2 linked regions of the Oryctolagus cuniculus genome follow. Each later gene encodes a partner of the first gene's protein in a complex. Links are inferred from orthologs where the notes say so. Each region holds a gene or a part of one and is shown on either strand. Other genes may lie near its edges.

What was found.
Region 2: the proteins of SCML2 (region 1) and H2AJ are in contact, whole or in part, in a crystal structure (PDB 4EDU), measured with the Homo sapiens proteins. The link is inferred for Oryctolagus cuniculus from reciprocal best matches to the Homo sapiens genes SCML2 and H2AJ. Residues at the interface, in NP_006080.1 of Homo sapiens: Asp182, Asn185, Tyr187, Leu188, Cys190, Phe206, Trp209, Phe213, Pro239, Pro240, Gly241; in NP_808760.1 of Homo sapiens: Leu35, Arg36, Lys37, Gly38.

What each region holds. Positions count from the first base shown.
Region 1 is NC_091453.1:4,445,102-4,448,749, forward strand, and holds part of SCML2 (sex comb on midleg-like protein 2), read right to left. Parts: intron 519-3,648; coding exon 395-518; intron 1-394. UniProt on the Homo sapiens protein: Putative Polycomb group (PcG) protein. PcG proteins act by forming multiprotein complexes, which are required to maintain the transcriptionally repressive state of homeotic genes throughout development.
Region 2 is NC_091440.1:112,556,381-112,560,484, forward strand, and holds H2AJ (histone H2A.J), read left to right. Parts: upstream 1-1,173; 5' UTR 1,174-3,180; coding exon 3,181-3,570; 3' UTR 3,571-3,699; downstream 3,700-4,104. UniProt on the Homo sapiens protein: Core component of nucleosome. Nucleosomes wrap and compact DNA into chromatin, limiting DNA accessibility to the cellular machineries which require DNA as a template.

The sequences.
Region 1 (3,648 bases):
ATATAAGCCACAGTGCCAGCCCCAGAATACTGAATTTTCAAGTGTCTCATGAGACCATACCTATAAGGGGTCTTCAAAAAGCTCATGGAAATGCATATTATTGAAAATTATGCATAAATTTAAAACTTTTTACATCAAAATAAATTATCTTTTTTCTATTTTTCTATGAACTTTTTGAAGTATCCTCATATTTATGCAGAATGTTTTTCCCTAACATCAAACTGATCAATTAGCATTACAAAATACTTTAAAATATGAAAAATACTAAAAGAAATGCTTACTATTATCATCTATTATCATCTTTTCCCCTCTTAACTCTAGGACATCAAAGAACTGAAAACAATACAGAATAAAAGACCGGAAATTTTATACTCTTTTTAAAATACTAACTTACCTGTAGACATCACTATTTTAGACATTCTAGGAGCAGCATCCCTATCACCTGAATTGGCACTCTCTCTGATCAGCGTTTTTAAAGAAGTTGAAGATGTAGAACACAACACAGGAATGATTTTTTCCTGAAAGAAAAAAAAAAAGAAAGAAAACACAAGTTTAAACTACTTTTTAAAAACTTCCTAGCAAGAAATCCAGAAGAGTATAGGTATTGTTGGTTCACCAGATTTTGTTACAAAAGTCCTCAATGTTGGCATCCTTGTGTGTGTGTGTCACAACCTGCAGAACTTCCTCAACTGAGTCCCTCAGAGGCTACAGGCTACCCACGTCAGGGAAGTAGAAACAGAGAGGCTGAGACTCCTTCCTCTACTACCTGCTCCAACCATGCACACCTTAGCCACATTATTTCACCAGGTAAAACTGTTTTAATTTTTGAGGCTTCATGTAAGATAATTTTTTTCACACTGCTAAAGAAAAGTCTGTAAATCTTTAACCCAGATCAACACATTCAGTAGGGGGAAAAAAAAAACCACAGAAGAACAAAACTCAACAAGGCAAAGGACTTTTGACAGCAGTTGTTCATGTAGCCTTCCCTGTGTCTAGCCTGCACTTCTCCACATGAAATATAATAATTTTGACAAAATTACAAAGTGGTTTGCTAAAGTTCATACTTCAATGTTGACAGAATTTATTTGTAAATTAATGACTGTCATTTCAGTTCACAGTATCCTAATAGATGATGTTACTTTTAAGTATGGAATTATAATTATTGTGTTGATAATCTTATTATTTCAGTATTTTAAAAATCTGAAATCTGAACCCTTTAGCATGAGACATACCAAGATAGTATGGCTTACATTGACATTGCATATTGAATAAAAGGTACATTGATTTAGAAAATGTGCATCTATACTTCTAGAATCCTTAAGCTTAGGTGGGAAAAAGTGACAGTTGACAAAAGAATAATTTTTACTCTTGTTCAATGATTCTCTGAATAACTAAACTATGAGCATGGTAGTACTAAAATACGGATATAGGTAACTGCATGAGAATCTTCCTCTTTTCATAAGACATTGAAGCTAAAAAAAAGTGAACTGAAATGCTGTCTTTGAAACAAAAATATAATTATCAGAAAAAGATTAGAGTATTGTCCCTTCCCATTCCATACCACTAAAAAAGCAATGTTTTCAAAAAGATATCTTCAAAATTATTAAATTAGCATTCGAATTGGAATATAAAGGAGCCAAAAGAAATGATGTAGAGTTATCTCATACTTTCAACCATTAAACCAACTAATCACAAAAAGTTTTCAGCAACTGTAAAATATACATGCATGTTAATTTAAAAATGTACTTAAAATAGTATATTATTTCATTTTAAATTTCACTATTAATTTTTATTTATTTTTCATTTAAAAAAATCTCATCTGCTATGATTTGCATTAATCTGCTTGACTTTTTCAGTGTTTATAATTACATATTTGAAATACAACATTTAGTTTTGTTTACTTTTAGTTTATAAATTTTCATTGATTAAATAAAAATATCAGTATCAATATTTTTTAAATCAAAGTGGTGTTATTTTGTTTCATATTGTAAACATCAGTAGAAACACTATAGATACTGGTATCAGATGGCTAAACTCAAGAAATGTTTAAGGTAATACCTATGAAATTAAATTCAATCAGCACCAATAAAGCTGAGAAGATTATAGGCCTTTATATTTAGAGTACATTTCCTATACATAGGATGTATTTGGGTCTTTTTAAAAAATCATTTCATAATCTTTTAATTGGAAAGTGTATTTTAATAACTTGGAATGTGATTATTAATACATTTGGGCCTAGTTCTACCATTATTTGTTTTCTATTTATCTCTTCTGTGTTCTTATTCTTCCTTTCTTTTTGAAGTATTTGGATATTCCTTAGAATTCCATTTTAATTTATTTTCTTACTGGTTTTTTAACCTATACTTCTTGGTCATTTTTTCTTTTTAAAGATTTTATTTATTTATGAGAGGCAGAATTACAGGGAGAGAAAGAGAGAAAGGTCTTCCATTCGCTGGTTCACTCCCCAAATGGCTATGAGGGCCAGAGCTGGGTTGATCCGAAGCCAGGAGCCAGGAGTTTCTTCCAGTCTCCCACGTGGGTGCAGAGGCCCAAACACTTGGGTCATCCTCCACTGTTTCCCAGGCCATAAGCAGAGAGCTGAGTCAGAAGAGGAATAGCTGGGACACAAACCAGCACCCATATGGGATGCTGGGGCCACAGGCAGAGGCTTAGCCCACTACGCCACAGAGCTGGTCCCAATATATATATTTTTTTGATAGGCAGAGTGGACAGTGAGAGAGAGAGAGAGACAGAGAGAAAGGTCTTCCTTTGCCGTTGGTTCACCACCCCACCAATGGCCGCTGTGGCCAGCGCACTGCAGCCGGCGCACCACGCTGATCCGAAGCCAGGAGCCAGGTGCTTCTCCTGGTTTCCCATGCGGGTGCAGGACCCAAGCACTTGGGCCATCCTCCACTGCACTCCCGGGCCACAGCAGAGAGCTAGACAGGAAGAGGAGCAACCGGGACAGAATCTGGCGCCCCGACCGGGACTAGAACCCGGGGAGCCAGCACCGCAGGCAGAGGATTAGCCTATTGAGCCGCGGCGCCGGCCCCAATATTTTTTTAAAATATGTACTAGGGATTACCATGGACATCCTTAACTTTCCAGAGTCAACTTAGAATGCTGAAACCTTGCAATGGTAGAGATCCATAGGCCTCATCTCAGGCCTTTATACAGTAATGGTTTTATGTATTATATCTATGTATAACATAAAATCTTAGAAAAGTATCACTATGTTTCTGAATCTGTATATATAAAATACATGAAATCTGTAGACCTTAAAGAAAATTAAAAAACAAAACTGGAAAAAAAAAACCTGAAGTCAGTACCCATTCAACAGGTTAATGTAAGACAACAGAGTTATGAAAATAAACAAACAGAACGAGAGTTACAATCACAATATACAGTAGACACTCCCTCAATATTAGCATATTATCATAAAACTAAAAAACGAGAGGCCAGCACCGTGGTACAGGTTAATCCTCCGCCTGTGGTGCTGGCATCACATATGGGCGCCAGTTCTAGTACCAATTGCTCCTCTTCCAATTCAGCTCTCTGCTGTGGCCTGGGAAAGCAGTAGAAGATGGCCCAAGTACTTGGGGCCCCTACACCCATGTAGGAGACCGGGAAGAAGCTCCCAGCTCCTGG
Region 2 (4,104 bases), on another chromosome or scaffold:
TAAAAGGCCACTAATCCTTTCTCAAAAGAAATCCTGAATACAAACGAAAGTTTCGGTTAATTGTCTTGCTTAAGGAGACAGTACTCTCACCAAAGGTTGACTCCCATTAAAAGGCATGGATATTTAGGAGATGATTCAAAACTGCTTCTCAGGTGCTTAATTAATATCTTGAGGAATGAATAGTTAGAAAATTGGATTCAGTGTTCCTAGTCTTGAAGATAAGCCTTTCCTGCAGAAAAGGTAAGAATTTGTAATATTTGTGGCCGGCGCCACGGCTCACTAGGCTAATCCCTCTGCCTGCGGTGCCGGCACACCGGGTTCTAGTCCCTGTCAGGGCACCGGATTCTGTCCTGGTTGTTCCTCTTCCAGTCCAGCTCTCTGCTGTGGCCCGGGAAGGCAGTGGAGGATGGCCCAAGTGCTTGGGCCCTGCATCCCATGGGAGACCAGGAGAAGTACCTGGCTCCTGCCATCGGATCAGTGCGGTGCGCAGGCTGCAGCGTGCCAGCTGCGGTGGCCATTGGAGGGTGAACCAATGGCAAAGGAAGACCTTTCTCTCTGTCTCTCTCTTTCTCACTGTCTACTCTGCCTGTCAAAAATTTTTTTAAAAAAAGATGAATTAAAAGAGCCTTTGGAATGCTTGTTATGGCTGGACAAAATCCTGAATAATGAGACTTTACTACATAATTTTAATCCTTGACTCAAAGGAGGAAAAGCTTATCAGATCTTGAAGAAATGAGAATTATCATTGCAAATTGACTGATTTTTTATATTTACTCTTCTAAAATATCAAATCAGAACTTTTCAAATTAGAAATCTTTGCTTACAAGAATAAAAAGGAAAAATGTGGCCCAAGTAGTAATTTACAAAATCTGTTAGAAGTTTCCCATGATATAGACAAAAATTTAAGCTAGTTTACAGAACTCATTCCAGGGACATCTTGTTATAAACCACATCAGAGTTTTGTATGCCCATTTATTCTGTACATTTAAGAGATATTAGATGCTCGCAAATGTATTTTATTTTCCAAACAACACTTTGAGATAGGTAGGGAAGTTAATAACTTATCCAAATTCAGCTGATAAATAGCAAAGCTGTAAGGCCGCCGCAAAAGACATCAAACACCAGAGTTAAGGGAAAGTTTTATTGTCTGGTGGGAGAATCCTGACAGGCTGGGGGAGAGGGGGAGAGAGTAAGAGGGAGAGGAATCAGGAGAGAGAGAGATCAAGAGAGAGCACAAGTGTGTGTACAGGAAGCAGGCCCTGTTATACCTTTTCTAGGGGCCAGGGAAGTAGGAGCAGTGAATCCCATTAGGGCTGGGGTGGAGCTGACACCTGTGGTTGGGCCATTGGTCACCTGGCTTGTAGCAATGGAGGTGGGAGCCAGAGCCTAGGAGGGTGTCCCAGGCATAGATGGTGCCACAGATAAGACGGCACCATTTTACTAACAAAAGCCAGGATTTGGATGGAAGCAGTCTGGCGCCAGGATGACCATCTTAACCAAAACAGGCTGCTTCTCAGCCTCAGAGACATTTATTAAATCACCACTACTGGGGCAATCATTGTGCGAGGATGTAAGAACAGAGAAGAGTACTTGAAAACTATTTCAGAGAGATCAAATGGTTAATAGGGCAGCAAGAGGTTTTGTTTTTAACTTAAATGGATACTAAAATTCACACAAAAATACTTTTTTAAAAAAGATTTATTTATTTGAAAGAGCAACAGAGAGAGAGGAAGAGACAGAAAGAGATCTTTCGTTTGTGAGTTGGCTTTCCAACTGACAAGAGCCAGGGCTGGACCAGATCAAAGCCAGGAGCCTGGAACTCCATCCTGGTCTCCTACCTGGGAGGCAGGGGCCCAAGCCTTTGGACCATCATCTGCTGCTTTCCCAGGCCCGTTAGGCAGCTAGATCAGAAATGGACTAGCTGAGATTCAAATTGGCATCCATCACCAGCAGCGGCCTAATGGCTGGGCCACAATGCCAGCCCCCAAATAAATGCTTATGTTAGTATGTATGTGCCTTAACATCGCATCAAGTAGCAGCGTTCCTGTGGAGAACGCCGAAATTACCTCAAGGAATTAGAAAAAACACAACAACAAACAAAGGCTGTGGGTCTGCAGTTCAGGTGTGTAGGAACAAGCTGCTGCTGTTTTTCCTTTAGTCTCTGGAGCCAACTGCAAGGATTCTTCCCGGGGAAGTGACCCGCGATGCTGTGACTTACACAGAGCCGGCCAAAGCCAAGCCGTCCGACCCAGTAACCCAGGTCCACAACCTCGAAGACAAGAGAGAGCAGGTTTCAGCGAAGCGACCCTGTTCTCTCCTTCAGGAGATGGAATTCTCACCCGGTCTGCCACTCCTGTTCCAAAGCCCTTAGAACTGAACGACTCGCAGCCCAAAAGCTGCAACTTTGTGGGCACAGCAGTGTCATCTGGTCTACTCAGCACAGCTCCGATGGCCCAGCACCAAGGAGGCCTCTGTGGGAGCCAGCCCCCCATCCGCACCCCCAGCACTGCACGGAGCTGGTATAAAGGCACAAGGCAGGATTTTGCTTGGTGAGCGGCTTTGCTCAGAACCGCGGGCTCTGGAGTCAGCAACCACTTGGCTAGGACGCCGCACTCCAGAAAAAAAAAAAAAAAAAAAAAAAAAGGCCTCCCAGCGAAAGCACAGCAACCTCTGGCACACGTGTGCCTCAGCGGGGGCACCTCTGGCTCCAGCGCTTCGTACTTGTGCACAGAGCAGCTCTGCCTCCAGACTTGGACTGTTTCCAACCACGTTTCTTTATTTCTTAGGAGTTTATTTCTCTGGGAGCGAGCGCGGACACAGAAACATCAACATCTGCTATATTCACCTGGTTTCCTAAAGCGGAGCACTCGGCCCCCCTGAGTATTCATATGGGCGGCTATGTAAATGAGGACTAGGCGTTTGCTCTTTTGATTGGACACAGCTGCAGCAGGCCGTCCCTCTGCAATCCCGCTGGTTGGGAGCGGAGCCTGCCTATCATTGACCACTGGAGCCGCGGATGTTGCGGCGCCCAATGGGAAGGCGCTACCTAGTGGCCGCAAAGAGTTTGTAGGCAGTTCCGGTAGGGTTCGCTTCATTCGCGGACCGGACTCGGTTGGTTGTTTGGCTTTTTTTCTTTTTGCTTTTTTCCGGCCTGGCTGGCGTTTGAGGTTAGAGGTGAACATGTCCGGTCGTGGAAAGCAGGGCGGCAAAGTGCGGGCCAAGGCCAAGTCCCGCTCCTCCCGCGCGGGCCTGCAGTTCCCGGTGGGCCGAGTGCACAGACTGCTGCGCAAAGGTAACTACGCGGAGCGGGTCGGCGCGGGGGCGCCCGTGTACCTGGCTGCGGTCCTGGAGTACCTGACGGCCGAGATCCTGGAGCTGGCCGGCAACGCCGCGCGCGACAACAAGAAGACGCGGATCATCCCCCGCCACCTGCAGCTGGCCATCCGCAACGACGAGGAGCTGAACAAGCTGCTGGGGAAAGTGACCATCGCGCAGGGCGGCGTCCTGCCCAACATCCAGGCCGTGCTGCTGCCCAAGAAGACGGAGAGTCAGAAGGCCAAGAGCAAGTGACCCTGGCGCCGCCGAAAAGGGAGCCGGCTTCCCCCCGCCAAGCCTCTCTTCGTCGCCGTCCCGCAGTACTCTTGACTGTGCTGGATGTCAGGGGGGTCCGGAGCCAATAAAGTCGGTGAAAATCGTGTAGTCGAGAGAGCTGTGTAGTCGCCGGGAACTGGTGGATGACCCCGGGGGAGGGGCGGGCAGACGGCACTGCTGGATCCATCTGAGCCGCCCACGAACCGCCCTGCCCCGCAGGCCACCCGGGGGCGTTACGGGGAGAGGAGGGCGGCCTGGAGGTGGGCAGGGTGGGGAGCCCCCCCTGGCCCGCGGGCCGAGAGCAGAGGCCGAGTAGGTGCGGCGCGGCCTACCCTGGAGCGTCTTCCCAGGGCCTTGGCTCCCCTGCCCTGTCTGTAGTAAACCAGAACCAAGTTCTAGGCGGAGAACCACCTCCTGGGGCCTGAGCTAGGCCATACTTTTCAAAAGATGGAGTAACTTCCCGTTGGAGGCTGGCCCTGGACGGGGCGGTATCAGTTTAGAGAGATTCTTCCC